Drosophila melanogaster: one gene and its partners. The protein of the gene in region 2 interacts with the protein of the main gene of each other region in a pairwise test. Each region holds a gene or a part of one and is shown on either strand. Other genes may lie near its edges. The genes, in order: Vlet, RpL3, CG4896 and Hecw.

Evidence for each region.
Region 1: the proteins of RpL3 (region 2) and Vlet interact in a two-hybrid assay, tested with the Drosophila melanogaster proteins (one large-scale study listed by BioGRID).
Region 3: the proteins of RpL3 (region 2) and CG4896 interact in a two-hybrid assay, tested with the Drosophila melanogaster proteins (one large-scale study listed by BioGRID).
Region 4: the proteins of RpL3 (region 2) and Hecw interact in a two-hybrid assay, tested with the Drosophila melanogaster proteins (one large-scale study listed by BioGRID).

Annotation. Positions count from the first base shown.
Region 1 is NC_004354.4:11,675,408-11,681,395, forward strand, and holds Vlet (valette), read right to left. Parts: upstream 3,145-5,988; 5' UTR 3,028-3,144; coding exon 2,996-3,027; exon of another isoform or gene 2,943-2,995; coding exon 2,258-2,942; 3' UTR 1,937-2,257; downstream 1-1,936. Other genes in the region: bif (bifocal), read left to right, coding at 5,446-5,707. UniProt on the Drosophila melanogaster protein: Scaffold protein in the commander complex that is essential for endosomal recycling of transmembrane cargos; the commander complex is composed of the CCC subcomplex and the retriever subcomplex.
Region 2 is NT_033777.3:11,218,699-11,226,588, reverse strand, and holds RpL3 (ribosomal protein L3), read right to left. Parts: upstream 4,696-7,890; 5' UTR 4,660-4,695; coding exon 4,657-4,659; intron 4,415-4,656; coding exon 4,222-4,414; intron 4,185-4,221; exon of another isoform or gene 4,029-4,184; coding exon 3,860-4,028; coding exon of another isoform or gene 3,739-3,859; exon of another isoform or gene 3,546-3,738; intron 3,502-3,545; coding exon of another isoform or gene 3,450-3,501; exon of another isoform or gene 3,195-3,449; coding exon 3,059-3,194; intron 3,019-3,058; exon of another isoform or gene 2,799-3,018; intron 2,732-2,798; coding exon 2,342-2,731; intron 2,282-2,341; exon of another isoform or gene 2,189-2,281; intron 2,099-2,188; coding exon 1,739-2,098; 3' UTR 1,416-1,738; downstream 1-1,415. Other genes in the region: scpr-C (SCP-containing protein C), read right to left, coding at 212-886, 940-1,053; CG6693 (uncharacterized protein), read left to right, coding at 5,185-6,084; CG6689 (uncharacterized protein), read left to right, coding at 6,574-6,805, 6,864-7,237, 7,298-7,890.
Region 3 is NT_033779.5:1,174,112-1,183,860, reverse strand, and holds CG4896 (uncharacterized protein), read right to left. Parts: upstream 6,172-9,749; 5' UTR 6,000-6,171; exon of another isoform or gene 5,914-5,999; 5' UTR 5,912-5,913; coding exon 5,817-5,911; intron 5,754-5,816; coding exon 5,394-5,753; intron 5,021-5,393; coding exon 4,792-5,020; intron 4,735-4,791; coding exon 4,665-4,734; coding exon of another isoform or gene 4,630-4,664; exon of another isoform or gene 4,410-4,629; coding exon 4,336-4,409; exon of another isoform or gene 4,002-4,335; coding exon 3,924-4,001; intron 3,865-3,923; coding exon 3,738-3,864; exon of another isoform or gene 3,649-3,737; coding exon 3,412-3,648; intron 3,349-3,411; coding exon 2,935-3,348; intron 2,867-2,934; coding exon 2,068-2,866; intron 2,007-2,067; coding exon 1,757-2,006; intron 1,692-1,756; coding exon 1,575-1,691; 3' UTR 1,407-1,574; downstream 1-1,406. Other genes in the region: CG5126 (uncharacterized protein), read left to right, coding at 1-332, 390-1,366; CG4887 (uncharacterized protein), read right to left, coding at 6,489-6,605, 6,670-6,919, 6,980-7,760, 7,818-8,282, 8,338-8,574, 8,688-8,814, 8,874-8,951, 9,291-9,364 and 2 more.
Region 4 is NC_004354.4:9,607,164-9,614,529, reverse strand, and holds the start of Hecw (hecw ubiquitin protein ligase), read right to left. Parts: upstream 5,585-7,366; 5' UTR 5,233-5,584; coding exon 4,839-5,232; intron 4,780-4,838; coding exon 2,324-4,779; intron 2,249-2,323; coding exon 2,082-2,248; intron 1-2,081. Other genes in the region: LysRS (Lysyl-tRNA synthetase), read left to right, coding at 5,978-6,108, 6,238-6,901, 6,963-7,366.

The DNA of each region.
Region 1 (5,988 bases), on a different chromosome or scaffold from region 2:
CAGCCAACCAAGCAACTGAACTCAACTCAACCGAATGGAAACCCAACCCAACCCAACAGAACCCAACCATCTTGTGGCAACTACATTATTATTTACTTAAGGGACGAAGTGCGAAGAGAGCGCGGAGGAGGATCAACGCTTGATATTATACTTGGATATATGTGTACTACACTGGATACTACTGGATATATATATATATATATACTCTACACCGCGATCTATCGAATGGGAATGCAGCAATCTCGCCAAACAGAACGAACACGCATCAATTTATACATTTTATATATATATAAAGATATATATATCTAAGATAACGAGGAATCGGCGTACAATGTAACCGCAATTGCCGCTTCAAACCGACGGCAATACTAAATACTGGAATACTGATTGTATTTTTACGCTAGCCACAATTTGATATAAACTATATATCTTCCAATTTTTTTGTACACCTAATGTTAGTTGAAATATGTGAGCGAGACGAGCAAATTTTTGTAGCAAACTAAAAGCGCTAAATGTTTACTTTTTTATATTATTATATATATAAATACTTGATAAACATATACCTAATATTAGATCTAAACTAAACTAACTATAAATCGCACACACTCATACACTCACACAAAAACACAATGCAATAATTGAGTTACATAGTTTTAAACAAATGTTAAAACATTTTGCTGCAACCGTCGGAGATGTAGTGTACAATTTTTAGTTTCTCGTATTATTTTTTTTTTTATGTCTGTTTTGTGTTTAAATTTTTTGTAACTTTTTACAAAGCGTAAACTGTGTATGTATGTGCTACATTGATTTTTGTTTAATTATATCAAGTTTTTATTTAAAAAATCGAACACCACCTTGCATTCTCCTCATTTGAACGTGGCGCTCACACTTATTACTTATATAGGTCAAATACAGCGGGCTCTGGTGATCAATCCAATCAGCAGAAAGTAATGAAAAACACCGAAGTTAATGTTTAAACATAAACACACAATGAGAAAAGAGTCGTGTTTCCATATTCACTTGATTTAATCGGCATGCGATGTTACTCACAGCGAAAGGAAATTCAGCAAGCTTGAATCGATAAAATTGTTGTATATATTAAATAGTTTAACACTGTGTAATTTTATTTATCCTAGCTCGATTCTAAGTGCTTGCGTAAATGATCATTTAAATTTTCTAACCCGAAAGAACTTATTTATTGGTTTATTTATACAAAATTGAAATGAAGTGCATATGGAAACACAACTCAAAAACAGACAGCACAAATAGAACAACAGGAACAAATGACCAACGCATTTCGAAAGGCGATAATCATTTACACGAAAAACCAATATAATTAAACAGAATCCCACGCAAACTGAAGACTAACTAACAACCAAGTTAAGGGCTAGTTAATGGAGCCGGTGCCAAAGCAAAAAAGGAAAAATGATAACAACACCTACACACACGACAACTAAATGTAACAATAGCAATACATTTTAATGAAAATTGTAGTCCAAATAATTTGCATACATTTGTATTTTGTCCAAACTTAGTTGAAATGATTAACCGAACTGTGAAAGAGTGCAATAGAAATCGTTTTGCTTCTAGATTAGTGAAAAATACAACGAAGCCCCTAATTTGAATACGAAGCAACCCAAAATCCCCGCCCTCCCGTAATAACAATAAATACATATGCATAATTATGCAAAAGTTTGAGAAGATGAAACTAGAAAGTCTGTATAATGCATACATAATATACGACTCCATTATACACACACACACGCATACTAAGGCCGATGAATAACATATGCATATACAATATAGACATATATTAAATATATATCATTGTAATAATTTGTAATGTTTATCAGTAGAATTATGATCCGAGGTGGAGCAGACGAGTAAAACGCATGCAGAGATCCATTAAAGTGTACTGTAAAATGTGCCACACATTGTTTTATCTAAATTTATTAAAGGATTTATTATTTTGCAGAGGGTAAGTTCTAAAACTTAAAAACTAGTCCTGTTTGGAAGATCCTAATCATTGCAACGTTTTATAAATCAAAGCCGAACTCTTACTCTAGTAAAAATTTGGCTACGTTCGGAAAATTAGCCAGAACATAGGAAAAACCCTACTGAATTAAACAAAAAAAAACGTGTTTAACATTTGGCTACGATCGTGTTAGTATTGCATACTTTTAGGTCCATCTTTTTGCACAGAGTTTTGTGTGAATCAACAATAAAATTGGCACTGGAATTGGTCGATGGCGTCCCACTACTGATTGCCAGGCGCCGTTGCTCCTGTAGTCTTCATGGCCAGCATGGCGTCCAGTTCGCCCTGGATGCTCTCGAACTGATTGTACAGTTCCATTAGTTCCGGTTGTGTCATTTCGATGTTGATATCCTCGCCGACGGCCGTTTTCATTTGGAGCACGGCCAGCGGGGTCTTCTCCCGCTGCTGGCAATGCGAGGAGATCTCCATGTTGAGCTTCCAGGCCACATCTTCGATGACATTTGATTCGTACCGCTTGCTGGCCAAATTGTTCATAATGGGCGTCGTTTCGCGCACCCACAAACGCAATATGGCATCGATCTTGGCCTCATCCTCCAGCTGGAGTTTCTCGCGCAGCTCACGCTGCAGCAAACTTGGCTTGATGATAAACGTGGAGATGCGACGCAGGATGTAGGAGAAGGTCTTGATCAGCAGCAGGAAGTCCTGACGCGGTACGCCCACCAATCGCTCCAGTTCCTCGAGTGTGTACTCCGGTTCGGTGTTACTTGTGGGGTTCTCCTCGGTGCTGCTGTCCACCCGGCCGGTGGTCGTCACACTGGTGCCCACTGTACTACTGGTGGCACTCGCCGATGCTACGCTGGGACTCATCTGCCGGTGGGTGTAGAACAGAACCGTCGTAAAGGTCTCGTAGGGCAAGGCATTGATGATTTTGATGCCCTCACGGGCTCTAAGATATAAATGCAAGAAATTAATCTCTATAAGAACATTGATATTACATACCTTTCCGTGATCTTTATCCAGTTAATGCTCATTGTGAGATATATTTAAAAATTTTTAAGGAACATAGAGTTATTAAGTCTTTACCAGCACTTCTTTTATTATGACTTTAATATTATTTGTTTATACAGACCAACAATATACAAAAAACTATCGACTTGCCACGGTGCGGTGCTGCCACACAGTTACTACTGCCAATAATAACGGTAAGTGCTGACTAAAATACAAAAATATTACATTTTGCGATGTGATTTTAAACATATTCTTTATTAATTTTTTAGATTTAAATGTTTTATTAAATTAATTTATTTTTCTGTATTTAGGCCTGAATAATTTACCTTATAAAATTACAATGTTTTAAATAATATTTGCTGTTATGTTTCCTGCAAAATAAAATTCGTGAAAAAAAGCCGCACCAGCAAATATCAATACCAGATTGTCGACGGCACCGACGATCGACGATTCAATTTGTAGAAGATTATCAAGTACGAATAGTTTTCCAACTCATTAATATAATCGTCCTACCTGGCAACTCCGCTGATGCCTATCGATGCTCCGCTCGATAGCGCCAACAATCGATAAGCAGTATTTGTGTATTGGAAACGCGGCTTAACTTAATGCAGATTTTTCCGCTGATTCGGCTGCGAAAGATGCACTTTTAAGGCGCAGCGAGTGCACCCACGCCCCGAGTTCGAGTGCAGTTGCAGTCGGGAAAGCTTGACAAGTGCGCGGAGCAAGGAGAGCGACGAGTTCGTTGAGCTACAGCGAAACGGAAAAGTGTAAAAGCGGGGTAAACAGGCGCAGCGGAGCGGATGATAAACGGAACTCGGGATCGGAAAATTGGAAGCAAAACCAACCACCGATTATAAAAAATAGTCAGCATCTTAAAAGTAAGGATTTCAAGCTAAGGTTTCAGCGAAAGCCCGAGAAAAACAAAAACCCCAACTAAACTAACGGAACAGTGCGTCGGGATATATGCATGTGTATGTGGTATACGTATGTGTGTCTTTGGCTGCGTGCGATTGTATTGTTCCTGTGTAAATAAACAAAACCCGGCTCTTTAGTCTTCCACTAGTTCGTTTCGCGTTTCTCTGCGAGGAATTTTTGTTGAAAAAACTCAATTTGGCATAGCATAACTTCCAGTTTATTTCCCTATTCTGCAAACTGTGTGTATCAGTGTGCTGGTGCTTCCAGCATGCCGTAAAAATCGATAGCGCGTCGTCGGTTGTTTATTTTATGCTTCGTCTGCATTTTGCAGCCCCTTTTTATCGCTCTCCCCTTTTCAGCCACCCTTGCACACACTCACACTCTCTCCGGCGGAGTCGTGTGATGCATACACACACACACACACAGACACATGCATACGCCTGATACGGGAAATTAAAAATAATACTTTTTATCGCGGCATGCAAAAGGCAAAGCTGCAAAAACAGAAACAATTCCAATTCCAACAGCAATAATCTAGCCATGCAATCAATTTTAGCCAAACAATAAAAAGAATCGTTTGGTTTCAGTTTCCCCGCTTTTCTTTTCCGTTATTTTCCTCTCTATATTCGGTTTTATCGCATTTTCCGCTCATTATGGCAGTTTAGCATATTTATGCTGGAAAAATATTGGGGTTTCTTCGCTTCTTACCTTTGTTTTACGTTTTGTTTTGCTGTCGGGCTGTAAAAACAGCAGTTAATCCAATTAAGAAAAATAAAACTCTAAATGCCATCGCCACCACGAATTCGAAATCACCTTTTATCTACTCAAAAGATATTCATCTTATTTATTTTCCAAGATAAATGTTAAATTATAAATATATTATAGAACCATACACTTGTTGAAATAGAATTTCTGCTAACAGCTGCGAGTTTTACAGTCATAACTATTATTATTATTTATTAACTTAGATTTCTACAGGCTGCGATTTTATAAAAATGATTCAATTTTTTATCTAGACTTTGTTATTAAAATTTCTACATAAGCAGAAAATAATTGCTGCAATGACAAATATTTCATTTTCAGCTTGTGTTTATCGTAGCTTATTTTTTGTTAAATGTATATTAAAGTATTTACTCCCCTTCTCATGTAATATACATATATTGAAAAAACAGTACTTTTGTCTATTAGAATATATTTATACCCTCACTTATTGGTTCATCTCGAAAACTGGTCGAGTAAACTGAGAATCTTGAGATAGTTTCTTGAATTGGATATAATTTGCATGGTTGGCCAATCTTTTGGGTCGGCTATGCCCGCCTCTTTGCTTCGTAGAGGAGCTTGGGCACCGGGCACTTGCAATTGGCACCAGCTTCGGGCCAGTCAGTCCGCCAGACTTGGTCTTTGGGTCGAGATGTAGAGCTGGATAGTGTGCCACACTATATAGGGGATACTACTGCGATACAGACACCGCGGACACGGCTGACATGCATTAATGCTGCGAATAATGCCTATTGCAGACGGGGATAATGGAGTCACAGAAGCGGCCTTCGTTGGACTTACACACGGATGTGCCAGCAGGATTAGCAGCTGGAGGATCTGGCCTGGGAGCTGCAGCTGAGATGTCGCCCACTTCCGGTTTCCTGCCGGACATGCCGCAGTGGAAGAAGGACCTCATCCAGCGCCGGAAAACGAACGTGGCCCGCACCCAGGCGGCGTCCATCACCTCGCCCACCGATGGCAGTTGTGGGGCTTTGGCAGAAGCCAACGCAGCTCCAGGTGCAATTGCAGGTGAGTGGTGGTTGGACAAACTGGAATACTTTCACCTGACACGCAAATTAAAGGTATTTTCAAGCCAAGCATTTCTGTCAAGGCATGTTAGGTGCAAGTATTCGTATTTCTAATCGCTATTTCTTGCATTCTTGACAAACGAAATAATTGCACTTACTTTTGAGCTCCATACTTATCCCTTTTAAATGATACCGTTCGGTACTTAAAATAAATTCAACGAACTATAGACTTCGGAAAGGTTTTTAAAATATTTAAAAACTGCCGTAGCAAATAGTAATCAG
Region 2 (7,890 bases):
TTATCACCAATAAATTGGAATACTTTATCCACAGTTACAGGGTGTATAAAGGGGGCTGCCCACTTGCTGGGCAAACAGCTGTTTGGATAGCACAAATCCGTTACTTACAGCAAACATAAATAATTAAAATTTATTCTTTTAGCACTCTTAAACTAAAATGTTACATATTAATCAAATTCCATTGTCCCATCAATCGAAGTCCATTCCATGCCTACATCGTCTGTGTGTTCTCGATGACCTTCTCGTTGTCGTAGATCTCCTTGGCGTAGCACAGGTTGGGGTAGTCGTAGGCAGCTCCATAACGGTTCTTGCACCCGGTGGTTGCCTTCTCTCCCGGAGTGTAGACAGGCTGACCCACAATGTTCGATGTGGCGAAGTTGCAGGTGAGTACGAAGTGGTTGTAAAAGTCCCGGGAGAAGCGCACCGCGGCACATCCCACATGGGTGTTCTTCTCGGCCACCGCGATGGTGAACTTGGTCACCGCCTTGTTGGGAAGCTCCTCCGGGAAGCTGGCGAGGATCTCGGGAGATGCATTCGAGCGCTCAGCAAACCAGTTCTCGATCTGCTCCTTTATTATTTCCGCATCGGTGTACTCCGTCTCGGCTCCGCTGTACTGGAACACGGCGTTGTTCTGGCCGGCGTAGGCGAATCTCTCGGTGCTGCGACATTTATCTGGCAGGGACTCACAGGTCTTTACGTTCAGCAAGGCCAGATGGGAGAGCTCCTCGCACCAGGACATCTTGGCCATGCGAACAGCCTTGGGTAGTCCTTCTATTTTGCCTCCAGCCACGTTGTTGCGCAACTCGTTGAAGAGATTGAGGATGAGTTTGTGGTGCGGCTCGATCTTCACCTCACGCACGTCCTTGGGACAATTTTCACTGAAATTCTGGGCGAGAATGGGTGAGCACCAACAGGTTTTGGCCAGCTATCACTACTTACTCCCTTGTTGTTGCAGGCTATGTGCTTGTCCAGGCACGTGGGCAGAGCACAATAGTCCGCTGCAAGGCTTATTCCCAGCAGGGAAGTAAGCAAAATCAGAGACTTAATGGCCATCTTCAGCGTTGGTTTTGGACTGAGGCTTAGCTACCCAAAGTACCCTATTTATAGGATAGCTGTGGGGGGTTTTTACCAAGTAACCGGAGAGGAATTGTAGCCAAGTATTGTTACAGCTGCATTCCCATGAATGTCTGGTCACGATGGAGTAGTTTACCCATACTCGAGTGTCATATAAAAGCAGAACTATAGACTACGGACAATCAGTTGCCAAGAGTCAGTGGCATTGTAGCAATGCTCTCCGTAGGAACTACGATGCTAACCTGCTGATCCGGAGGACACCCAATTATTCTAGCAAATCACATCGAACTCAATTGGCGATTTCTAATCTCTTTTGCTATAAATGTTCTACGAGTGTTTAAGTTTGGTGGTACTCTTTTATTGTAGATAAACTATTTACTAGTGTCCTAATATTATTTTACTTTTAGCTCTAAGGAGGTATAATAAATAACAATTTAGCCTGGGTATGTACATATATTAAACTATCATGAGAAATAAACTAATGATTCCACCTCCTAATCAACATTAATCGATTGTAAAATCTGTGACGTGGTCTTTTCCCATTAGATGCAATTGAAAAGATTAATGAGTCAGCTTAGCCAAAATCTGTTTATTGATCGCTGCCCTACCGCAGCAGTTGGTGGTAGAAGCGAGCAGACAATTGAACGCGGACACGACATTTTGTTTAAGCACTGGTGGTGGTGGCGGCGGCAGCAGCAGCGGTGGTAGCGGCAGCCTCCTCCTTGAGACGATCCTTCTTGAGCGGTCCCATGAAGGCCAGCTTGTCGGCAGGGGTCTGGAAGCGACCGTGACCCATCTTGGACGAGGTGTCGATGAACTTGAGCTTGATCTGCTCCAGGGCAGAGCGCTTGGTGTGCTTCAGCAGGGACTTGCGCAGGGTGATGATGCGCTTCTTGGAGCCGATGCAGCAGCCCTTGATCATGACGAAGTCGTTGTTGACCTCACCGTAGTGGGGGAAGCCACCCATGGGCGTGATGCTCTTGTCGGTCAGATCGTACTCGGTGGAGGCGTTGTTCTTGATGACCTGCAAAAGCAAAGCGATACATTCTGGATCAGATTACTGTGGTCTTGCGGCAGGGGGATTCAGGATTTAATCTTATGTAGCTGAAGATCTGTTATCAGTCCTATCATTATAAATATCATGGTTCATCAAGTTTTTTTTGTTTCGATGTCGATATTATTTTTAAGGTTTTATCATCACAAAAACAGATTTCTTCTACAGCCCGATTAAAGTGGAATGGTGGGAATAATGGGTACTGGTGCTTACCTTGCCGTCCTTGGTGTGGATGCCAGCGCCGATGCGGTAGATCTTCTTGTTGATCTCGGTACGGTGGTGGTAACCCTTCTGACCGGCACGGGCCACGGTGGTGGACACACGCGACGGATGCCAGGCACCAATACAGGCCACCTTGCGCAGACCCTTGTGCGTCTTGCGGGGCAGCTTCTTGGTGTGCCAACGCGAGGTGACACCCTTGAAACCCTTACCCTTGGTCACACCAACGCAGTCGATCATCTCGTCCTGGCCGAAGACGTTGCTGACCTGGATGGGCTTCTCCAAATGCTCGCGAGCCCACTTGACCTTGTCCTCGATGGAGCCGCCGTTCAGCTGGATCTCCATGACATGGGCCTTCTTTTGGCGCTGCTTGATCAAGCGGATCTACAGGCAAATAGAGAAAAAGTACACAACAGGTTAGTTTCATCCACCTTGTGGTATTGGAAATTGGGACTGTACGTGATATGGTTTAACCGCGCTATCATCGCCTGAACGGCTCCGCACCGTTACTGGAATATATCAAGTCCCGCCACCCGAGGGGCAGATTGCTCTGCGACGTTGCATCCCTAAACCGTGCATTGAAAACCACAGCGCGAATGCTTTTTAGGCCAGGCGCACCAAAGGCACCGAGCCCGAGGACCCAGCACCAGTGGCGCAACAAGGCCAAGGACGTCGGGAAATATGGAATACATAATTGAAATTGATATTTACCTGCGAGTGGGCAATCACACGGATCACCTTGCAGTAGCGCAGCATCTTGCGGAAGTCATTCTCGATGCTCTTCTTGCCGAGATCATCGGTCCACTTCTTGCTGGCCTTGGTGAATGCCTTCTTCTTGCTCTTGTACCTGATATGGACGATGGTCAAGTTGGAGACGCAGTGGTCAGAAACGAGCGTAATGTAGCAATCCATTGGGGTGTCGCAACAACTCCAACTTCTTAGCCGCGCTGTTTATGTGGGGCGAGATAGAACAGGAAGTGCGCCTCATCGCAAACGAATGGCGAGCGGAGATGCAGTCTTCCTTGTCATGCTCACTCGTCAGGCAATTTCAATTAACCAGGGGCTTGCTTGTGCGCCCCATGATCAAGATTAACCTGACAGCTCACACAACGTTTAGCGATTTGAAAAGCTCTCTCAGCAAGCTGATCGAAGAACTTTATGATTTTGTTTTACATTTAATAGGGGTCTATATTACACGAGGGAATCACTGTTGATCGGAAGTTCGCACACACACAAAACAGCGCACTGGTTGATTTATACTTCAAAAAACAATAGATATTGTATTGCAGCAAAATCAATCGCTTATTTTCTAAGAGGCCGATCAGAAGGAAGGCAGCAGATGGTAAAAGGCTTCTCAACAATAATTTGCTCATTCAGATACCATCGTTTCATCATCCAGACTCGAGTAGAAAGCACGTGTCGGCTGCCATTTTGTGTGTGTGTACACCCGGTGCAAAGAAAATGGCGACAAATGGAGTAGGAAGAACGACCACGTGGTCCTCGGATACATACCAGTTCTTGTAGAAGCGACGACGGCACTCCTCGGAGAGATGCTGGGCCCAAACGTTGACCAGGGCACGCAGACCGAAGGGAGTCTCGATGTAGCCGACAGCACCGACCACAATCATGGGCGGGGTCTCCAGAACGGTGACGGCCTCGACCACCTCCTTCTTGTTGATCTCTGCAAGAGAAAGAAAAGCCATTAATACCGAGTAATGGTATTCCCTAAGAGAAATCATCTACAGAGTGGGCTTGGTCAGTCCGCCCTAGTTGAGATAATCACGGTTAATCATATGTGTTCTAACCATAAATCTTCTAGTATACTCATCATGGAAAGTAGTTGTTAGTTGATAGAGGTGGATGCTGGTACTTACTGGAGCCAGGACGATCGGCCTCGCGCACAATGTGGGTCATGCCGGCCTTGTAGCCGATGAAGCAGGTCAGATGGACTGGCTTGCTGGCGTCATCCTTGGGGAAGGCCTTAACCTTACCGCGATGGCGAGCTGAGCGCTTCTTGGGGTAGAAGGCCATGGAGCCATGGCGGGGTGCCGAGAACTTACGATGAGACTGCAAAATGAATGGAGAAAATCCATTAGCACAATGCGTTTCTGCACTTTGAGGTTAGGTGAACACGTGGATGTTGCAAGTGCAAATTATGCATTAAAATTACGCTTTGTTTGTATTAGTTACATTTAGAGTGATTATAACGCTACTGTTTCCAAACTAATCAATTATTTAACTTGCAATCATCCATCTTTTTGACACATCACATAGTAATATAATTTATTTTATCCGATCGAGATGCTCACCATGTCTGTTCTCTTCAGACGTGTAAAACGGAAAAGAAACGATTCCGACTTCCGTCTCGTTATATAGTGTGTAGTGTGCCCAGTGGTAACTTTGCTGAGAAATACACGTTTGGTATATTTTTTGAGATGGGTTTAAGGTCACTTTTCGCAGTACGGTAACACTGCTCGCCATGGATTTTGAGGGATGCCACCCTCATACGTTCTTAACACGGGTTACTTTTTAGTTGGGACACCAACCATGCAATGTTGTGCAGCACTGAAATGTTCAATTCTCCAATTTATTTTTGTTACTTATCACGCAGGCTCTCAAAAATTATCAATAGTTAAAACAAAATTCATAGAATACCATTTTACTTGTTAAATAATAACCAAATTGCTGTAAACAGGAAAATCAAAGATTTTTTCGCACCATTAAACAAAGGAATTTTTGTCTGCCCCACGCACCGCCACACTGGCGCGGCGTTTTGGCGCATTTTGCGTTTGGTAGTGTTGGTGCGAAAAATAAAAATACAAAATACGAAATTAGCAATGTCGACGCTGGAGCTGTGCGAAAAGTATTTTGGGACGCGCGATGTGTACAAGCTAATGGAGCTGGCCCGGGGCGCCGGCGAGAAGGAGGTGAAGAAGGCATACCACAAGCTCTCGCTGCTCGTTCATCCCGATCGAGTGCCGGAGGAGCAGAAGGCGGAGTCCACCGAGAAGTTCAAGGTGCTATCGAAGCTCTACCAGGTGCTTACCGACACGCAGAAGCGGGCGCTGTACGACGAGCAGGGCGTGATCGACGACGACGATGAGAGCGAGTCCAAGCTGTCGTCGTGGCTGGAGTTGTGGAGCAAAATCTTCAAGCCCATCACCGAGGAGGATATCAACAACTATGAAAAGGAGTATGTGGAATCGGAGCTGGAGCGCACCGATCTGAAAAAGGCGTATCTGGGCGGCAAGGGTTGCATCAACTATCTGATGAACCATGTGCCCTTCATGAAGGTGGAGGACGAGCCGCGCATTCAGAAGATCGTTCAGGATATGATTGCCAGCGGCGAGGTGCCCGAGTACAAGATCTTTACCGAGGAGCCGGCAGCCAAGCGCAAGAAGCGCCACCAGAAGTACGCGCGCGAATTCAAGGAGGCCAAGGTGATCAAGGAGCGTTTGAAGCGCCGCCAGAAGGAGAAGGACGACCAGGATTTAGCCGACAACGGTGGCGATTTGCAGCAAATGATCCTGGCACGTCGCAATCAGCGCGAGTCAAACTTTGGCTCCCTAATGGACCGCCTGATGGAGAAGTACGGCAACGAGGACGACTCCGACACTGTTGACTTCAGCGCCTTCGAGAAGAAGAAAAAGAAGTCCAAGAAGCCCGCCGCCAAGCAGGAGACCAAACCGAAGCTCAATGGAGTCAAGGCGGGCCGTGTGGAGAAGGGCAAAAACTAGTGCCGTCCTCCACTGCTCATCGTGCGCTCCTTAATATATATTTATCGTGTAGTTTAGGCTTAGTTACTCATATGTATTTATCCATGTACGTATACTTGTATTTTTCGCTAGATTAATACTAAGTGGACATAGAAATGCGCTACCATTATTACCCAAAAGTTTTCCTTGGTTCGCAAGAAAATCAAATCAAATAAAAGAATACAACGTTATCACTGCGAAATGCTGCTATTCTGATATAAAAAAATTACATTTTTTTCAATTACTAATGAAATACAGTGTGTGTGTGTGTGTTTGTGGGTTAAATAAAGCAGAGTTTTTGTAAGAACATCAAATAAACGTAGTTTTCTGAATTTTGCAATTTCAAATAACTGTTGCATTTTGTGACGTCATCGATGTAACCACCTCGAATTGTTGGCATCGTGGCAGCGCAACATTTGGTCACACTGCCGGATTATTTAATATAAACATTGCGCACTTTATTCTAAAAATATGCGATGTGCCGTGCCCAATTGCCGAAATTTCTCTGACTGCCGCTCCAAAAGGAATGCGGCTCAGCAGCAACGCTTGGGCTTCTTCCGCTTCCCCAAGTGCCCGGATACGTTTAAGGCTTGGCTAGCATTCTGCGGCTACACGGAGGAGTCCTTGAAATTGAAGAATCCCTGCATTTGCATCGAACATTTCAAGGATGAGGACATCGAGGGATCCCTGAAATTCGAAATGGGTGAGTTCCATGTGTGAGCCGCTAAAAATGTCCAACTGAGTCCTTGTCTTTCGCTCAGGATTGGCAAAAAAGCGCACTTTGCGACCAGGTGCAGTTCCCTGCGTGAACAAAAGCCAGGAAAGTGGATCGGATAGAGCCCGTAAGGAGAGGTCACAGCGCCGCAGAAACCAGGAGCTAGTGGCTGAGCTATTGGCGGAGGAGGAGGCCAAGCTAATCCACCCGGAGGCTACTTCATTTGAGCAGGATAGTGTGTATTTATCGGAAACTGTAACCATGGAATTGGATCCACTTTCGGGCGAGGAAAAGTTGGAAGAGCTGCAAAAGTGCCGCACATGCTACAATGACTTCACCGCTGACTTCAGGGCCAAGGATCTCTTTGACCCGGCCAACAGTGTCCTGCTCTTTCACATCGAAGTCATAAGTGGTGTCTGGGTTGGTTATTCGTACATTTTATAGAGCAAAATAACATGTATTGCGTCAAAAATCTTTTAGATCAGTCACAAACCAGACGAGCCGCGCCTCATGTGCCCTGCGTGTAAATCGGCCCTGGATCAGGCCATCGATTTCCGGGAGATGTGCATCAGCACCGAGCTCAAGCTCAGCCAAGCCAAGCCCTCAACTGATGAAGTGCAGATCGAGGCTGAGAATGAGAATCCAATATCATCGGATCACGATTTGATATCTGATACGGAGAACACTAATGTGGAAGAGATTGAAGATGCAGGTGGAGATCATGTTGAAGATGAAGCGACATCAGATGACCAAACAAGTCAAGAGGCAGTCGACGAAGTCGCTGAATCGCCCGCCGCCCAGGATCCACTCAGTGTGGCTCTGGGGGCCAAGATCTTTAAGGAGCTATTAGATCAATATACAGGGAAGGAAAAAGCAAGACTCAGGAAGGGAGCACCAATCGCGAGTAAGCCCAAAGCTAAGGAAAAGGCAGCTGGTGAACAGAAACCGAAGCGCAGTGCCAACCCAAAGACCAAAGAAGAGAGGAATCTTATACGGCGCGCCCAGCTACGCGCCAAGCCGCCGAACTTTGTGTGCGATCAGTGCGGCCAGGCGTTCCGCATGTCACACAATTT
Region 3 (9,749 bases), on a different chromosome or scaffold from region 2:
CAAGAACTTTGGTCCGAGTGCTTCGCTGGAATCGCACAGCGTTGAGTGCTCCAATGGACTGGACGGCTTCATGTCCGCCTTGTACACCGTTACGCTGGACGTGGTCATCGCCGAGCGCAAGCGGACGGAGGTCGTCCTGGTCAAATTCATGAAGGGAACGGAAGAGTTCCGGGAGAGCAGCAACTCGTACATCCAGTTTTCCAACGAGATCTTCGCCTACGCCGAGATCCTGCCCGCCTATGAGAATGTGCTTCGGACGAGTCACCTGGAAAGCGAAGTGGTAAAGAACTGGGTTCCCTGTTGCTACTTCGCCAGGTTTGGCCACGTTGAAGGTGCGCATCCCACAAAGACTTTATCCATGACTACATCGAATGTTTACTTTTCTGCAGGTTTAGGGAATGGTAGGGAATCGGTGCTGGCCCTAAAGCATCTCAAGGGCGATGGCTACCAATTGGGGCCAAGGCTAACCCTTCGACGGGATCAGCTGGAGGCCATGGTAGGACTAGTGGGTCCGTTCCATGCTCTGGGCTACGCCACGAAAATCCTCCAGCCGAACGTTCATGCTCGTTTGCGCGCCGGAGTGGTGGACATGCCCTTCGTGTCCAGCTCAGGAAAGGGCATCTTTGATGTCCTCTATCGCGTGGCTTTCGATCGGTTCTACGAGTTCTACGACCGGCAAAAGGAGCAGCTCCTCCAGGGGGCAGACCCCGGATTCGGGGCCGCCATCGAGCGACTGCGGGAGAAGTACTTCAAGCAGCCAACTCTCCTGCTGGAGAGAATCCGCACCAGCTCCTTTGCCGAAGATCAACCGGACAGCCACTTTGCCACCTTTCTGCACGGCGACTACAACAGGAACAACGTGCTGTTCCACTACGGCGCTGAAGATAAGGTGGACGCTATCAAAGCCATCGATTTCCAGGAGCTGCGCTTCAGCACTACGGCCATTGACCTGAGCTTCTTTATGTACATGAACACGCCATCCGAAGGAAGGAAGGAGATCTACGCCGACTTGTTGCGCAAGTACCATCGAAGCATGATCGAAATGTTGGAACTGGTTCTGCGCCGAAACCGGAACGAGTTGACCGACGATCGGGTGGACCAGTTGCTACAGGAATACAGCTTCGAACGCTTCAATGCCCACTTCAAACGATATGCCTTCTACGGACCAATGGTATGCATGCACTTCCTTCCCTGGCTGCTCGGCACCGAGAAGGATTGCGCCGAGTTGTCCCGCCTCTTCGAGACGGATATGCACGGCCCCGCCTTCCACCAGTTGTCCTTGGACATCGCTGGCGATGAGGCGAACCAGGAGATCTTCAAGACCGTTCGTCACGCCTATGAGCATGGCTACATGGACGAGATTTAGATTCCCTTGCACAATTCCATACTTAAAGCATTTACAATTTAAATTTAAACCTAATTTGAGACTGTATTTACGAACTATTTACAATTTGAACTTCGCAACTAATGCTAAATGAACGCGACAAGGTGGAGGAAGTGTAATCGAGGTAAACAACAATGCTTAAATGCCCCTATATTCAAGCGGAATAAAATCATACACTTTAAGAAGAGTCTCAGGCGTTCTCATAACGCTGCTTCATCATCTTTTTGATGTAGGATTTGTAGTCGTTCCCAGGCGCCATATGGCCAGTGTTGTTGCCCAGCCCCACGTTGTTAGAACGACCATCAGCCTGTGGATACACATTGACATTGAATTATCCATATTTTGCCATTCGTCGCCCTCGTCGACTCCTACCTCTATGATCTCGGTGCGTCCCTGGTTCTTTTTGCCCAGTCCCTGGCCCTCCGACCAGCCCATCTTCTGCATCAGGCGGCTGCCCACGTTGGTCGAACTGATGGGCATGGCTGCAGTGGCGCCAAAAGAATCCTTCTGGCGCGACTGCAAAGTCTTTATCTCTTGCTCGAAACGCTCCCGGCTCCTATTTGGTGGAGGAGGATCGCTCTCACCGTACTTCAGCCTGCGTTCCTTGGCACGATCACGATAGCTAAGTACGGGTAAGTAAATTAGTGAGTTTATCTCCATTCTAGCAGCATATTCCCACTTACGATAGACCCTCATCCGTGCCAGCCTCAACTGCGGGATTCCGTTTAAGCTTGTCCAGATTCTCCTTGTGTAGATTCGACATTTTCAAATGCTTCTGCAAGATGTCCAGCGATTGGAAGGCACGCATGCAGAGCAGGCAAGTAAGTTTTTGGAAGTCCACGTAGTCAGATTCATCGCTAATGGCTCGTTTAGTCCCAACGCTAGCTTCAAGTGCTTTCTGATTGGCACTATTATCATCTTCCGAGTCAGAAGGTCCTCCATAAGCACCAACCAATTTGCTTATCGCTGGAGGTCCTGCCTCCGGTACATAGTCGTTGAGCTTGCCAAGCTCCTTCTTCTCAAGGATTGAGAATCCCACATCAGCATATGCCCCTTGGGAAGCACGGGAGGTGGTGGCCGCCTCAGTATCCGACAGGATAGGCTGCGGCGTTGCCACTGCTGTGTAGTCCTTTTTTTGGTTTAGCTGCTTGGCCCACTTCTCCATGTCCTTGACGATCTTCTTGGCCACCTTCACCTTGTCGGGCTTCCCCCCAGCTTCCTCCTTTTCTTTTTCCTTCTCCTTTGCCTTTTTGGCCTCCTCCTCCTTTTTCTCGGCATCGGCTAATACTTCCTTGAGGGCTGCCTGAGTGGAAGCGGGTGTGGCCAGCACATAGGTGCTCCGCTTCTGATCCCAGTACAAATACGCGCCCGTCTCGTTGTTGTAGTAGTACTGCGAGTGGGCATCATAGTAGAGTCCTGTAACGTGGTCGTAGTAGTAGCCGGAGGTCTCGTCGTACTGGTACTTGGACACATCGGGAGTATCTAACCATTGAGCATGAAATATTCGACATTACAGGAGCGCATAGATAGAATAGTGTGCGCTCACTTACCGTATTTCTTGCCATCATTCCCCTTGGGAGCACTTTCACCCCTGGCAAGGAAGGCGACCTTCGCCTCTGTCACCGAAACCGTGGTCTCCATCTGGCTGACCTTCCGTTGCTTGCGCTGGATGGCCGAGAGAGCAACGGCAGCGCCGGAGTTGGCCTCCGTCACTTGACGATCTCTGCAGTTCTTGCTTATTTCAGTCGTGTAATAATCCGTATAGTACTGGACGTAGTTAGCATGCTCCAACGGATTCGAGGCATACACGGATGCACTGTACTCCGCAAGACGAGGCACATCCGCCAAAGTGTAGGCCGCCGTAATGGCCGACGGAGACATCGCTGTTTCACCTGCTCTAAAAAAGTTGCCTTCGGCTGGCATCATTTGACGGTTTTCGGAGTCAATGCAGTAGGTGACGATAACTGAAGGGCATGGATTAAAGTTTTGTTTTTTAATTATGAAATAATTAAGAAGTAATAATTTACCTGTTTTGTCGTCCAGAGTGAGTGGCGGATCCAACGCCGTCAGCCCGTTGAACACGTTCATAGAATCAATGAGTGTGTCAAAATTGAGGTAGCAAATGCCCCGAGATGCATTGGTTAGGGCGTCGCGACTGACCAGCACCTTGCTGACTGTTTTGGCCAGTTCGGGCAGGCGCTGCTGAAGGGCAGTTAGCACGCCCTCCTCGTTTGTCAGCGCGTCCAAGCCGCGAAGCATGATCTCTGCATGGGGAAAGCGTGGCAGGTTAGTGGGGTATTTAGCTGATTAGCTAGGAAACGGCATTGAAAGATATTGCTCATGGTGGATATACTTTTTGTGAGGATTTGGCTGATCTCGTCGACGCCCTCGCCGGCTCCGTAAAGAGCATTCTCGCTCTCCGCCCGCGACGCATTGCACATGTAGCATTGGAAGCGGCGCTTAAAGTTGCTGGCACCACACTGAAGGATGGCGAAAAAAGCTAATTATTGTTGCCAATCTGTATCTTAACGGAGCATACCTTAATGCAAGTCCAGTCTGAGATGCGAGTGTGACTATACTGCATGGTGACACGATGATCGCCCAGTTGGAGGACTCCCTGAACGGAAAAATAGAAGAGGTAAAATTGGAATTAGTAACTGAAACTGCTGATCAGGCAAATCGTTCACAGACTACACAGTCACCAAGATTGCATCTGTGTTTTTCGACATCACGCAGATGCTGGTTGCTTCCTTTACGTAAGATTCGATTCCGCCTTTGAGTTCAGTTCCCTGATCTAAGACAGAAAAATGGAAGGGACAGGCAGCCCACCAGCAGAATTGAACTCAAGGCACACATTTTTCAACAGTTGATGCCAAGCTATCGGATCTTGCCGTCATTTCTATTTTGGCGGATACGAGAAGATTCAAGATTCTTGTGGTTTTTAGGGATACCTGGGTTAACTCCATCCAACGAGTCGCCTCCTCAACGGTTTTAAACTCGACAAATGCAAAACAGCGTGAGGCACCTAAATTTTAGATAGAAGTAGATACGAAAATGTTTGGTCAAAAAATGTTGGTTGTATCATTAGCATTGTGTCATTTTTGGGGATTGTGTTTTTGTTTCGGTTTGTAGTTTTCTATATGTTTTTGCTGATGTCGAAGCCAAGTATAATTGAAATTGCTATAAGTCCTACATCGAACATGTTGCTGGGCACGCAATACTCACGCTTTCTCTACAATTTCACTTTAAATCGAATGTAACACACGGAAATGTAACCCACCTGTTTGTTGCTTCCTCATCACGCGAATGGATGTGGGCTCCAGGTCGACCTTGATCAGCTCGCCCATGATCTGTGGAGGATTACTTGGTTAATTTTACATTCGTTCTGCTTATCGCTTAAACATTACGTCTGCTTCCGTGACGTGCTTCTTCAGACCGAAGAGGATTATGTTGTTCAAGGGCTCAACGCTGCTGCCACTGTTGTAGGCACCTCTCTGCCTGAATTCGCTGGCCATGTCGCTGTCCTCGTCCGAGGAACACCGTCTATCTCGATCGCGCTCCTTCTCGCGATCTCTGTAACTGCTGCTGGAGTTACTATTTCCATTATTATTGAACTGCCGCTGGTCATTGCTGCGGCTGAAAGGAAAGCGATTCTTTAAGGTCATACAATGAGCACTTTGTCGAATAAATTTTCGTTCGGTTCGTTTGAAACCATCGTTTGCATACTATCCACTGTAATTAAAGGCATCCAGCATGAATATTTCATAAGATGATTTGTATGCATTTATGCGAACAAAGGGAAGTGTACATTACTGAATGGGTTGATTTCTAATTATTTTGACTTTTATTACAAGTGATTAGCAAATGAAAGGTCTTTTAAACTAGTGAAAGAGGAGTCCTCCTTCTTATGGAAGCCTTGTGAATGGAAACATAGAACTTAGCTTAATCTTAATCTCAGTGATAACACTGAGCACGATATGGGTAATATGCAATATGTATCATTTCTTACCTGCTGCGCTCCGATCCCCGATCGAAGTCATCATGGTTGCGCTCTCTCGAAACGCGATCGTAGTTTTTCCAGCGGTGATCGCGGTCCTTATCCATATCCTGGCCACTCTTGTCGTAGTTGCTATCGTGATCCCTGCGACCCTGGCTATCAGCATGCCGACGATCGTATTTGTCCTCGCCGTGGCGCTGGTCAAGGTTCTGTCTCGAGTTGTAGTTTCCCTGATCCTCGTAATCCTCGTTGATCAGGTCGCGGTACAGATCGCGATCCGGACTGCGGTCGTTTCTATAGTGTGAGGACCGCTCCCGACTGCGCGAACGGGAGTTGCGACGTCTGTACTCATTGCGGTCCCGACTTCGTTCCCTGAAATAATCGCAATTGGTAGTAATCCACTAAGAGGCTCCAGGTGGACAAAGGACTACCTACCTGGATCGGGATCGGGAGCGACTGTAGCGTCTGTAGCCCGATTCGCTGCCGTTTCCGTTGCCGCCCGAGAAGCTGTGACCATATCGAGAATCCATATCTAATGCGAATCGATTGTAATTAAATGCAGTGTTTGTGATTTGGCCTTTTGCCATTAGATGAACCGTCTATGTGCGCACATCTTACTTGGTTACCACGACTGTAACAGGATTGGAAGCTGGTTAAACTTGTTCCCGAACTGGAAGTCTCTTTGCATTCAGGCAGAAACAATCAGTTATCCGGCCAAAAAAAAAAACCCGAATAGAAAAATTCTCGGTCTTCTTTTTTGCCGTTCACCCGAAGTATCTGACTGCCAGTTATCGATAACTGACCGATAGCTCCAGGGCTACCAAGTGCCAGCTAACAGTTGTTTCCCAACACCAAGCAAATTTAAACTTTACACCGTTACATTTTATTTTGTACATTCGAAAAAGGATTTAAATTCGCTTAATCAGAAACTATTAACTAAACGGTCACACTTGCTCGTGGACTTAAAAAAACGCCAATCTGTTAGGAAAACAATGCTCAAGAAGCTTCATATATAATATGGAAATAATTTTTGCTTCGGTTGAAAAGCTGAATTAAACGGCGACTTTAGTTGAAATGAAACATGTGAAACGGCTAAAAACCAATTTCTCAAGCATTCTCGTAGCGCTGCTTCATCATCTTCTTTATATAGGATTTGTAGTCGTTGCCCGGTATCATCTGTCCCGATTTGTTGCCCAAGCCCACGTAATTGGAGCGTCCGTCCGCCTGAGGGAACCCAAAATGCTTAATTTTCTTAATTCATTTTATAGCTTGCCGTCAGCTCAGTTACCTCTATGATCTGGGTGCGTCCCTGGTTCTTCCTGCCCAGTCCCTGTCCCTCCGACCAACCCATCTTTTGGAGCAGTCGACTGCCCACGTTGCTCGAACTGATGGGCATGGCTGGAGTAGCGCTAGTAGACTGCTTTTGCCGCGACTGCAGTGTCTTGATCTCCTGCTCGAATCGCTCCCTGCTCCTATTTGGTGGGGGAGGATCGCTCTCGCCGTACTTCAGCCTGCGCTCCTTGGCACGATCACGATAGCTGGGAAAGAATATGAATTCAATGATAATATACTCCACCACACATCGCGATTTCACTTACGCTAGTGCCTCTTCGATGCTACTGCTAGTGTTTTGATTGAGCTTGGCCAGGTTCTCCTTGTGCAGAGTGGACATCTTCAAGTGCTTCTGGAGTATTTCCAACGATTGGAAGGCACGCTTGCAGAGCAGGCATGTCAGTTTATGGAAGTCCACGTAATCGGACTCTTCAGCACCTCCTCCGCCGCTTACAACCGCTGAACTCTGTGTGTTTTGCGAACTCGCAGCATTGTCCTCTTCAGAGTCCGATGTTCCGCCATAGGCATTGACAAGCTTGTTCATTGGACCCACAGTCGGGTTTGGCGCATAGTCGTTTAACTTGCCCCTCTCCTTCTTCTCGAGAATGGAGAATCCCACATCAGCATATCCCCCTTGATTGCCACGCGAAGTGGTGGCTACCTCGTTCGCCAATATTGGTTGTGGCGTGGCCACAGCTGTGTAGTCCTTTTTCTGGTTTAGCTGCTTGGCCCACTTCTCCATGTCCTTGACGATCTTCTTCGCCACCTTAACCTTGTCGTGCTTGTTTCCACCCTCCTTCTCCTTCGCCTTTTTGGACTCCTCCTCCCCCTTTTGCTCGGCGTCGGCCAGGACTTCCTGCAGAGCTGCCTGAGTGGAGGCGGGCGTGGCCAGCACATAGGTGCTCCTGCGCTGATCCCAGTAAAGATACGCGCCCGTCTCGTTGTTATAGTAGTACTGCGAGTGGGCATTGTAGTAGAGACCCGTGGTACTGTCGTAATAGTAGCCGGATGTCTCATCATACTGGTACTGCGTCACATCGGGAGTGGCTGCAACATAATGAAACATAATAAAATGCTAGCATACTCAAGTGAGTGGCGACATACGGTATATCTTTCCATCGTTGCCCTTGGGCGCACTGGCCACCTGAGCAGCCAATGTGGCCTTCACTTGCGCCGCTGCCTGTGCGGCAGCTGTGGCCGCCGCTGTGATCGTGGTCTCGATACTGCTCATCTTCTTCTGCTTGCGCTGGATGGCCGAGAGGGCAACCGCTGCTCCGGAATTGGCTTCCGTCAAATGGGAATCCCTGTTATTTTTGTTTATATCTGCCGTGTAGTACTCCGTATAGTACTGGACATAATAAGCGTGCTCTGCGGGATTCGAAGCGTACAGGGAGGCACTATATTCAGCGAGTCGTGGCACATCGGCCAGAGTATAGTTTCCACCCAATCCTGAGGGCGAAACTGCTGAAATGTTCCCGCTATTGACAGTTGAATCTTTAACTGCCAATTCTTTAGGGTTCTTGGGCAATGCTTGCTGCTCCTCCAAGTCGATGCAATAGGTAATGGCCACTGGATGAAATATTGGTTATTATTTAAGTTATAAAAAGCACCTAAGGCCACATACCAACTCTGTCGTCCAAGGTAAGTGGAGGATCCAGCGCTGTCAAGGCATTGTGCACATTCATCGAGTCGACAAGAGTGTCGAAGTGAAGGTAACAAATTCCACGCGATGCCTGCGTCAAGGAATCCCGACTAATTAGCACCTTGCTCACGGTCTTGCTCAGATCCTTTAGGTGAAGTTGGAGGGCAGTGAGCACAGCCTCTTCGTTGGTCAGGGCGTCCAGGTTGCGTAGCATGATCTCTGCGTGGATTGGGGAAGTGGTAGAGAAATCGTGGCGGTCAGTGGTCTGTTGGACTTCATTGCGATCGAAGCTACAAAACGAGATGGCAAGAGAGTCTATGTGGTTTGTATACTTTTGGTGAGGATGGTGCTGACTTCGTCCACGCCCTCGCTACCGGAGGAGAAGGTGGTTTCGCTGTCTTCCCGGGATGTTTTGCACACAAAGCAATAGAATCTAAACTTGAAGTTGCAGACGCCACACTGGAACAAGCGAAACACATTACTCGCCATTAAGAATATGATCATCTCAGTGCACCTACCTTGTTGCAGTTCCAGTCCTGAATTCGCTTGTGGCTGTACCGCATGCTCACCCGCTCGTCGTTTAACTTCAGAACGCCCTGGTGCGCCAGACATGGAAATAGGAGAAGGAAAGGTTGCGGATTAGTAACCGATCGCTAGGATGCCTTCATTCACACTCTACACAGTCACCGGATTGCATCTGTGTTTCGTAACGCGAAGTTTTAGCCGCTGGCAATCTCCTCGAGTGGCTTTCTTGGGCAATTCTAATGAAGCAATACTATACTCGTGCTTAGTTTCCTTGCAACTACATATAAGTACTTTTAGTTGGACAAAGCAAGCTAAACAGTGAGGAATTCCTTATTATCATTGCCTGCGAACAACCTTGGCTGCTGATGATGATCAAAGTTTCAAGGGGATCTGGTCGATTGCGCTGATACCTGTGTAATATCCATCCATTGCTTTGCCTCCTCAACGGTGTTAAACTCGACAAACGCTATACCGCGTGATGAATCTAAATTTTCGGATAGAAGCAGATACAAAATGTTTTCGTCAAAAAATGTTGAATGTTTCGATAGGTTTGTAACATTTTTGTGGACTATTGTATTCTTTTCGATTCATGTGGCCGGTTAAATTCGATTGGTACTTGTACACTTCGCCTCCATTAGCGCGAAGCCGCTCCAACTTTTTGGACCTACTTACGTCTGACGCTGAAAGAACAAAGTCAGTGATTTCGTAACCCACCTGTTCCCTGCTTCCGGATAATGCGAATGCACGCTGGCTCCATGTTCACCTTTATCAGCTCGCTCATAATCTAAAAAAAAAGTTAGTTCATGAGTAATTAAAGGAGTTGCATTTGCCACTCTTCTGCTTGGCTTACATCTGCTCTGGTCATTTCC
Region 4 (7,366 bases), on a different chromosome or scaffold from region 2:
CTTTGCGAGGGTGCCGATGATAATGATAATGATTATGATTATGAGGTAGCACAACTTGCTGATGAAGATGACGGCACAGCCACACCTCCGCCGGAAAAAAAAAAATAAGAACTAAGCAAAAAGAAAAAACTTAGAATCGGACGGGACTCAAAATTCGAATTGGAGTTGCTATAAATTATGCTTGATTTGGAATTGGGTTAAATTGTGAACCGGGCGAGGGGCATTAGCGGATTAGTGGGGCGTCTGCGGAATTTATGGGGCAGCTGCTGCTAAAGCTGAAGGGCGTTGCTCTGCCACCGAAAAGGAGGCGTGGCTGCTGCAAAGTCGGAATGCCCCAAGATCGCTCAATAAATATACATATATAACCCATACATATATATATGCACATACATACATATGTATATATTTTAAGAGCCACTCAGCTATTTATAATTCACCGGCAAAAGCATTTAGGCATTTAGCCAACTGGCGAAATGTGTAGATAACTAAACGCGTGTATTTGTTGACTCTTGTTGTTGTTGGGCATATTAATTGCTCAAACTATGAAAAAAAAAAAAAAAGGGGGATGGCGCTGGGTGGGCGAGGTGTTGCCTCATCGCCACTCGGATGACTAATGGCCAAGTGCAGATTGTCTGAGGCTGCGGATTCTGATCTCGGTAGCGGAGTTGTGCGCTCCGTATTTCCAATACACCAAGTGCGACATGTGCGACGGCTACCCGACTTTTGCGATCGCTTGCAAAAGATTGTGTAAATACTTTCGCTAACCAGATCGTTAGGTGTCACTATGCGCAATGCAATATGCTTTAAATGAACTTACAAATTAACTCATTCGTTTCGTTTAAAAAAAAAGGTGCTGAACTAATTAACAAAACGGCAATTAATCAAATTACTTATTACTTGATTTTTTCTTGTATGTAGTGCATATCATTGCCTAAAGTTCTATTGAACTTGCTTGTTTTTAAGTGGATTTCATTTAGGGGAAAATATATACAATCAAATTATAAATTTTTAGGAAGCGTCTTGATTTTCAGCAATATTTAAAGATATTAAATGGAATCTTGCGTCAAATTTTCGCAGGATTCTTCCAAATTTATTATGATTACCACAACTTTAACAACCAGATGTACAAAGTATTCGCACTCGAATAAATACGATTGCATAGTAAAAACTCCCACCACTCGTTTGCCAATGAAGCGCGACAATTTGGCTAATTGAAATGCAATTAAATGGCTCAATCGGAATGGGAATCAGAATGGTTGGTGGCCAGCCAGCAACGGTGGAGTAGTAATCGACAGTTTGGGAGAATGAGGGGCGGCGACTTAATCTCTCAACATCGATTTCCATTTTGTTGCCGCCGAGATTGGGATTAAGATTAAGGTCAGCGCAACTTACATTGCGAATTGACGTGCTGCAGTTCCTCAATTTTTGTGGTAAATGTACATTGATTTCGTTGTGTTATTTCTCGCATAAACACGGTCAATTAGACAATAAGCAATGGGATTAAAAGCCAAGACGATGGCAAAGTGCTAGCCTTGCCTTGCCGTTGGTAGTTGGCTTAGTCCGCTTGCATTGTTGGACGCGCGTTTGGCGTTTTGGAAAATTAGCCAGCGACCTTCGATACGGTTTTCAAAAACAATTAAACCCACTAGCAGCACTCATATGCGGTGCACTCAACCAGGACCGCCGCCAAAATCGATTGAAGCTAACCGAATCAGCCAGCAGCTACAAATCAAAACCGAAAACTGATTCGAGCCAAGAAAATGACGCAGCAATGCAATTTCAGGCCAGATGGATACGGCCTAGCCTGGTGTGGGACCTTCGTCAAGTGCAGGTGGAGCCATTGCCTGACGGCCAACGGTGCGTCATGTGAGCGGGACTATATGGCAGTGGGTTCATTAGCACCACGCCAGTTCCGAGGGTTTACCTCCAACTGTCTGGCTGGCGGAATAATTCGAGTATAATTCGACTTAGCAAAAGAACAAGAATTGGATATAGACGATATCAATCTATCTATAATCTCCGCTACGATCCATAGTCATGTTAAGTGATCTAGTAGTTTCTATTGCAATCAGATCACTCACCTCAGCAAAATGGTCAGTTGTAGGTCATGGCCCAATCTTTCGAGTGCGGGAACACCCTCCACTCGCAGTATATTGATTTTCTCACGCAACTGGCGGGACATTGTGTGCTGGCCCTGGCGCTCTCGCAGGATCTCCAGGATGTTCGGCTGGCGCAGGAAGGCAATGACCTGAAAAGAAATATGTGTAATCAATGGAAAGTTCAAGATTTTACATTTGTTAAACGAGCGAAACGCGAAACGCACCTTTTCGTTGTAGGCGATGGGCACATCTTCGTACCCGGCTGCAGTGGCTCCAGCGCTGGCCATTCCAGCGGCACCATACGCCGAACGGTCGGCGTTGAGGGCACAGGAGATGGCTGACGTTGTGTTGCAGTTGTGGCCATGTCCATGGCTACTTCTGGACGAGGAGGACGACGATGAGGGTCTCGGTGGAGGTAAGGGCGGTACACCGGAGACCGATGATGCTGGACTGGCGTTAATATGCCCACTGGTGGCGGACAGGCAGTTGCCATCCACCAGATCCGGATAGTAGTAGCCCACACTGGACTGTTGCTGCGAATGCTGCTGGCGATGGCGTACCACACGAGGACACTCCACCGGCAGACGAGGATCCATGAATGAGGTGCGACGATGCTGGTGATCAATAAAGAACTGCTTGCCCGATTGATCCAGCTTGGTCTCCCAGCACGAGGGCAGTTCCCTGCTCATCTGGGCGAATGTGTTAACCAGCGCCACCAGATCCTTGTTGTACTGATACCGCTGGAAGCACGGCGGATCGCGTCGGATGCGCATGACCATGTGCTTTAGTGCGGCATTGCGATTGTAGATGGCCAGTGCAGCTTCGTTGGTGTGCAGTAGGGAGTAGAAATCCGGGCGGCAGAGCATCAGGATGGCTGGATGTATAGCCGTGGCGGGCGGAGGAGCAGCTGGAGCTGTGGAATTGGCATTACTATTCGCCGAGGTTGGCAGGTTGTAAAGCTGCGCAGCTCTACTCTCATTGGTAATGGTGCGTCGGATGCTTTGATACCGCCTATCCAGCTGCTGGCGATGATGTTGCTCTCTGCCTGCTGGTCCTCCACTTGGCGCCGCTCCTGGTCGTTGCCATGAGGTTGTTCGCGTTGTGTGATCGATGTAGAAGATGCGTCCGTGGCTGTCCATACGCGCCTCCCAAGCAGGCGGCAATGGTGGCTCTCCAGCGGCTCCAGCTCCACTAGACCCGGATACCGTACCCGTTCCGGGTTCCATGAGAGCGGCTCCAGCTGCTGCTGCCGCCGCCGCCGCTGCTGCGGCTGCACTGCGTTCTGGAATGGAGGGCAGGCGGGTGCTGCTTATGTGCACAACTTCGTCTGACTGCTCCTGACCCTGCTCCTGGCCACCATCTTGCAGATATATGTAATCCAATTGACTAGAGACGGCTGGCGGATCCGAGGGGATCGCTCCTCCGCTGGCGAGGCTGGAATTGGCAGTGACGGCTTGGAGGCGGGCATGCCGACGGGCATGGTGAGTAGGCGTTGGTGGACATACCAATGGCGAGCCGGTTGCGCCTCCCGTAGCACCAGCTCCTGCTCCACCGCCTACACGTTTGAGCAGCCGCTGCTGCGGTCGCTGACCATGGAATGTTGGAGTTCCGGGCGGCACCGCATCCTGCAGAGCACCACCCACTCCTCTGCCTCTGGTGGGCGAGTGCTGCTCTGGACTCAGGCTGATATCCAATGGAGAGGCACTGCGCGTGGAACAACCGGAAGGAGGACTTCGCGGACGTTTTGGTGAGAGCAGAAGGCGTGGGGAGGCTTGCTCCTCCGATGAACTGGCCTTGCCATTGGAAAGGGCACGGGTGAGCGGACGGTGCTGGCGCAGATACGGAAATTGCAGACTATTCGGCGACGAAGATGACGATCCAACTGCCGAGGAACTTGGAAAGGTGGGGAACTCATAGCTCTGGTGGACCGGCACCTTTTGTGTGCTAATTGTGTTGATGTAGCTATCGGGTCCAATCTTTTTCTTCAGCAGCGGCTTAAAGCGCACAGGCGGCGTGGCCAGGGGTGAATTATTCGAACTCCCACTGCCCTGTGCCATCTCCTCGGCCAGTCGCTCGTCCGTGTCCAGGATGTCGAACTGAAAGACATCGCCCTGAAGCTTCAGATCCCGACCAACGGCACGCGGCGGCCAAGATCGTTCCAGCGGACGATGCTGTGGTGGCGAGGGCTGGCGAAGATGCTGGTGATGCTGCTGCTGCTGACGGCGCTGCACATGGGCACTGGCCTGGAGGGCAGCAGCGGCTCCCAGAAGACTCTCCACGGCAGCCGCCTCCTCGTCCTCCTCCTCATCCACCTCCTCGTCCACTTCAGCCATGCTCAGAGTATCCACCATTTCAGCGGGCACTGTTTCGAAGCACTCACGTGCCACCCACAGATTAAAACCGTCGCCATTAGCATTGGACAGTGTTGTGGTTGGCGCACCCGTCTTGGTCTTCTTCTTGGCTCCGCTCAGGGGCGTGGAGCCACCGCTTTGCGGCGACAGGGTCCAGGACTTGCGGCGGGCGCCACCGCCCACACTGCTGCCGCCGTCGCTGCCAATGCTGCCATTGTAGGAGTTGGTCGGCGAGAGCGTGGCATTATTGGCCGGCGTCTCGCAAGATTTGGTGGAAAGCAGCGTCTGGTGGTGGCGCGGTTCCCTGGTCTCCTTTGAGCCTGTAAGAGCTTTAAGAGAACCAAGTGGATGAGTGGATGAACTCGCTCGTCAGTCTCAAGTTACTTACAGGCTTCGCTGGGCTGCGGCAGTGCGCAGGCCCCCAGCTGCTGCTGCTGCTCCTCCACCTCTGCCACCTCCTGATTTCTCGATGCCAAGGGCGGTTCATGTTCCTCCACTTCGCTGACACTCACATGGACATCGTTGGTCAGGGTAAGGGCACTCTGGAAGGCCTGTTCCAGCTCGTCACTTTCGTTGCCGTTGCGCGCCTCGTAGAAGGCCTCCTCTTCTTTGGGATCATCATCATCGTCCTCCTCTTCCTCCTCCTCCTCCTCGTCATCTCCTTCTGCCTGCTCCTCCTGCTGCAGTCTGACTGCAATGGGATCCACTGGACTCCTGTCCGCCAGGCAGGCGGAAGATGCTGCCAGTGGCTGTAGGGGTACCGGTGCAGCTGGTGGCTCCATTGGCTCGTTTGCCTCCTGGCCTCAAGATGTGCTCTTCCTCTTTCCCAGCACCCTTGCTCTTCCTCTTCCTGGTCCACAACCACCACTGCCACCCCGCCCCCGCGACCAACCCAGGGTTAACAGTTACAGTTACAGCTGCAGTTGCTCTACTTTGGCGTTCTGATGTTTGCTGCCTTCCGACCGGAGCATTTCGCGTCCTCCAGCCATTGAGTCCAGTTCTGGGCCGTGCTGTGCTGTGCTCACTGCCCGCAAGGCCGTGGCTTTAGTTGATCAATTGTTAATTTAAGGATATTGCAAAAGCTAAATAAAATATATATTTCGGGTCTAGTGCAATGTGACCAGATGTCAATGGCGTAAAAATGCCCTCGCGCCAGACTGGCCATCTGGTGCGGCAAAGCCAGTTGCATCGATTTATGCCCATCTGGCAGCGCTGGTCGTGTACTTTTTTTTTTTTACTTTTGTGGCGCTTTCGCATTCGCATTTCTTTTGGGTTTCCATCGCTTCTGAGACCCCGGGATTAAACAGCGAACAACGTAACCGCATCAGCATGGCCGCTGCAAGTGGAGAACTGTCCAAGAAGTAAGTGCCATAGGCTTCAAAGCGTATCCATTTGACCGCAAGCATTAAATCCGGTCAACGTAGCTGCCCCACTTGTAGGTTAGGGCGAAGCGGCAACGTTCCAGTTCGCATTATTTATGTTGCATGTGTGCAGTTCTGCTGATGAAATACGCTGCTTAAAATAACCATGTTCGCCCGCTGCGCCCTTAGAACCGTGCAGGGGTCATGGCCCCGATGCAGATACACCGGAATTCAGCCACTTGCCGCCGGTTTCCACGTGAGCGCTCCGCAAATGGAGCCAAGCAAGCAGACCAAACTGTGGGTTACTAATACGCACCGTTGGCCAGGCTGGATATATATATATATATATCCATGCGTGGTTATAACAGCCTTGTGGCAACATCTCCATTGTCTGCTAATACCCTAACTGTTTCTCTTCGTCCACAGTGAGCTAAAGCGTCGCCTGAAGGCCGAGCAAAAGGCCAAGGAGAAGGCTGAGAAGGCGGCCGCTGCGCCGGCGGAAAATACTGCTGGCAAGAAGAAGAGCAGTGCCGCCGAGGAGGAGGAGATCTCGCCGAATGAATACTTTAAGCTGCGCTCCGCCGCCGTTCAGGAGCTGAAACGTTCACCCGCAACGGATCCCTATCCACACAAGTTCCATGTGAGTAGCTCGCTGGAAGACTTCATTGCCAAGTACGAGAACAGCCTCAAGGAGGGCGAGACCCTGGAGAATGTCAAACTGAGCGTGGCTGGGCGCGTGCATGCCATACGCGAGTCGGGCGCCAAGCTCATTTTCTACGATCTGCGCGGCGAGGGCGTCAAGGTGCAGGTGATGGCCAGCGCTAAGTCCTACAAGTCGGAGGCGGATTTCGAAATCGATACGTCCAAATTGCGACGTGGTGATATCATCGGCGTTGTCGGACATCCCGGCAAAACCAAGAAGGGTGAACTGTCCGTTATGCCCAGCGAGATCAAGCTGCTATCGCCCTGTCTACACATGCTGCCCCATCTGCATTTCGGGTTGAAGGACAAGGAGACGCGCTACCGCCAGCGCTATCTTGATCTCATTCTCAACAACAATGTGCGAGAGAAATTCCAGATCCGTGCCAAGGTATGAATTGAACTAAGGAGTTTAAGCTGAATATAACAAAAACTACTCCCATTGCCCGCAGATCATCTCGTACGTGCGTCAGTTCCTGGATCGTCTGGGTTTCCTGGAGATCGAGACGCCCATGATGAACATGATCGCCGGTGGAGCCACTGCCAAGCCCTTCGTGACGCATCACAATGACCTCAAGATGGATCTGTTCATGCGCATTGCTCCGGAGCTGTATCACAAGATGCTGGTGGTGGGTGGACTCGATCGTGTGTACGAGATCGGACGGCAGTTCCGCAACGAGGGCATCGACCTCACCCACAATCCTGAATTCACCACGTGCGAGTTCTACATGGCGTATGCCGACTACGCTGACATTATGGATATCACCGAGCAGTTGGTCTCGGGAATGGTGAAAGCGATCCGTGGCTCCTACAAGGTCATCTATCATCCGGAGGGTCCAGAGGGACCTGAGCAAGA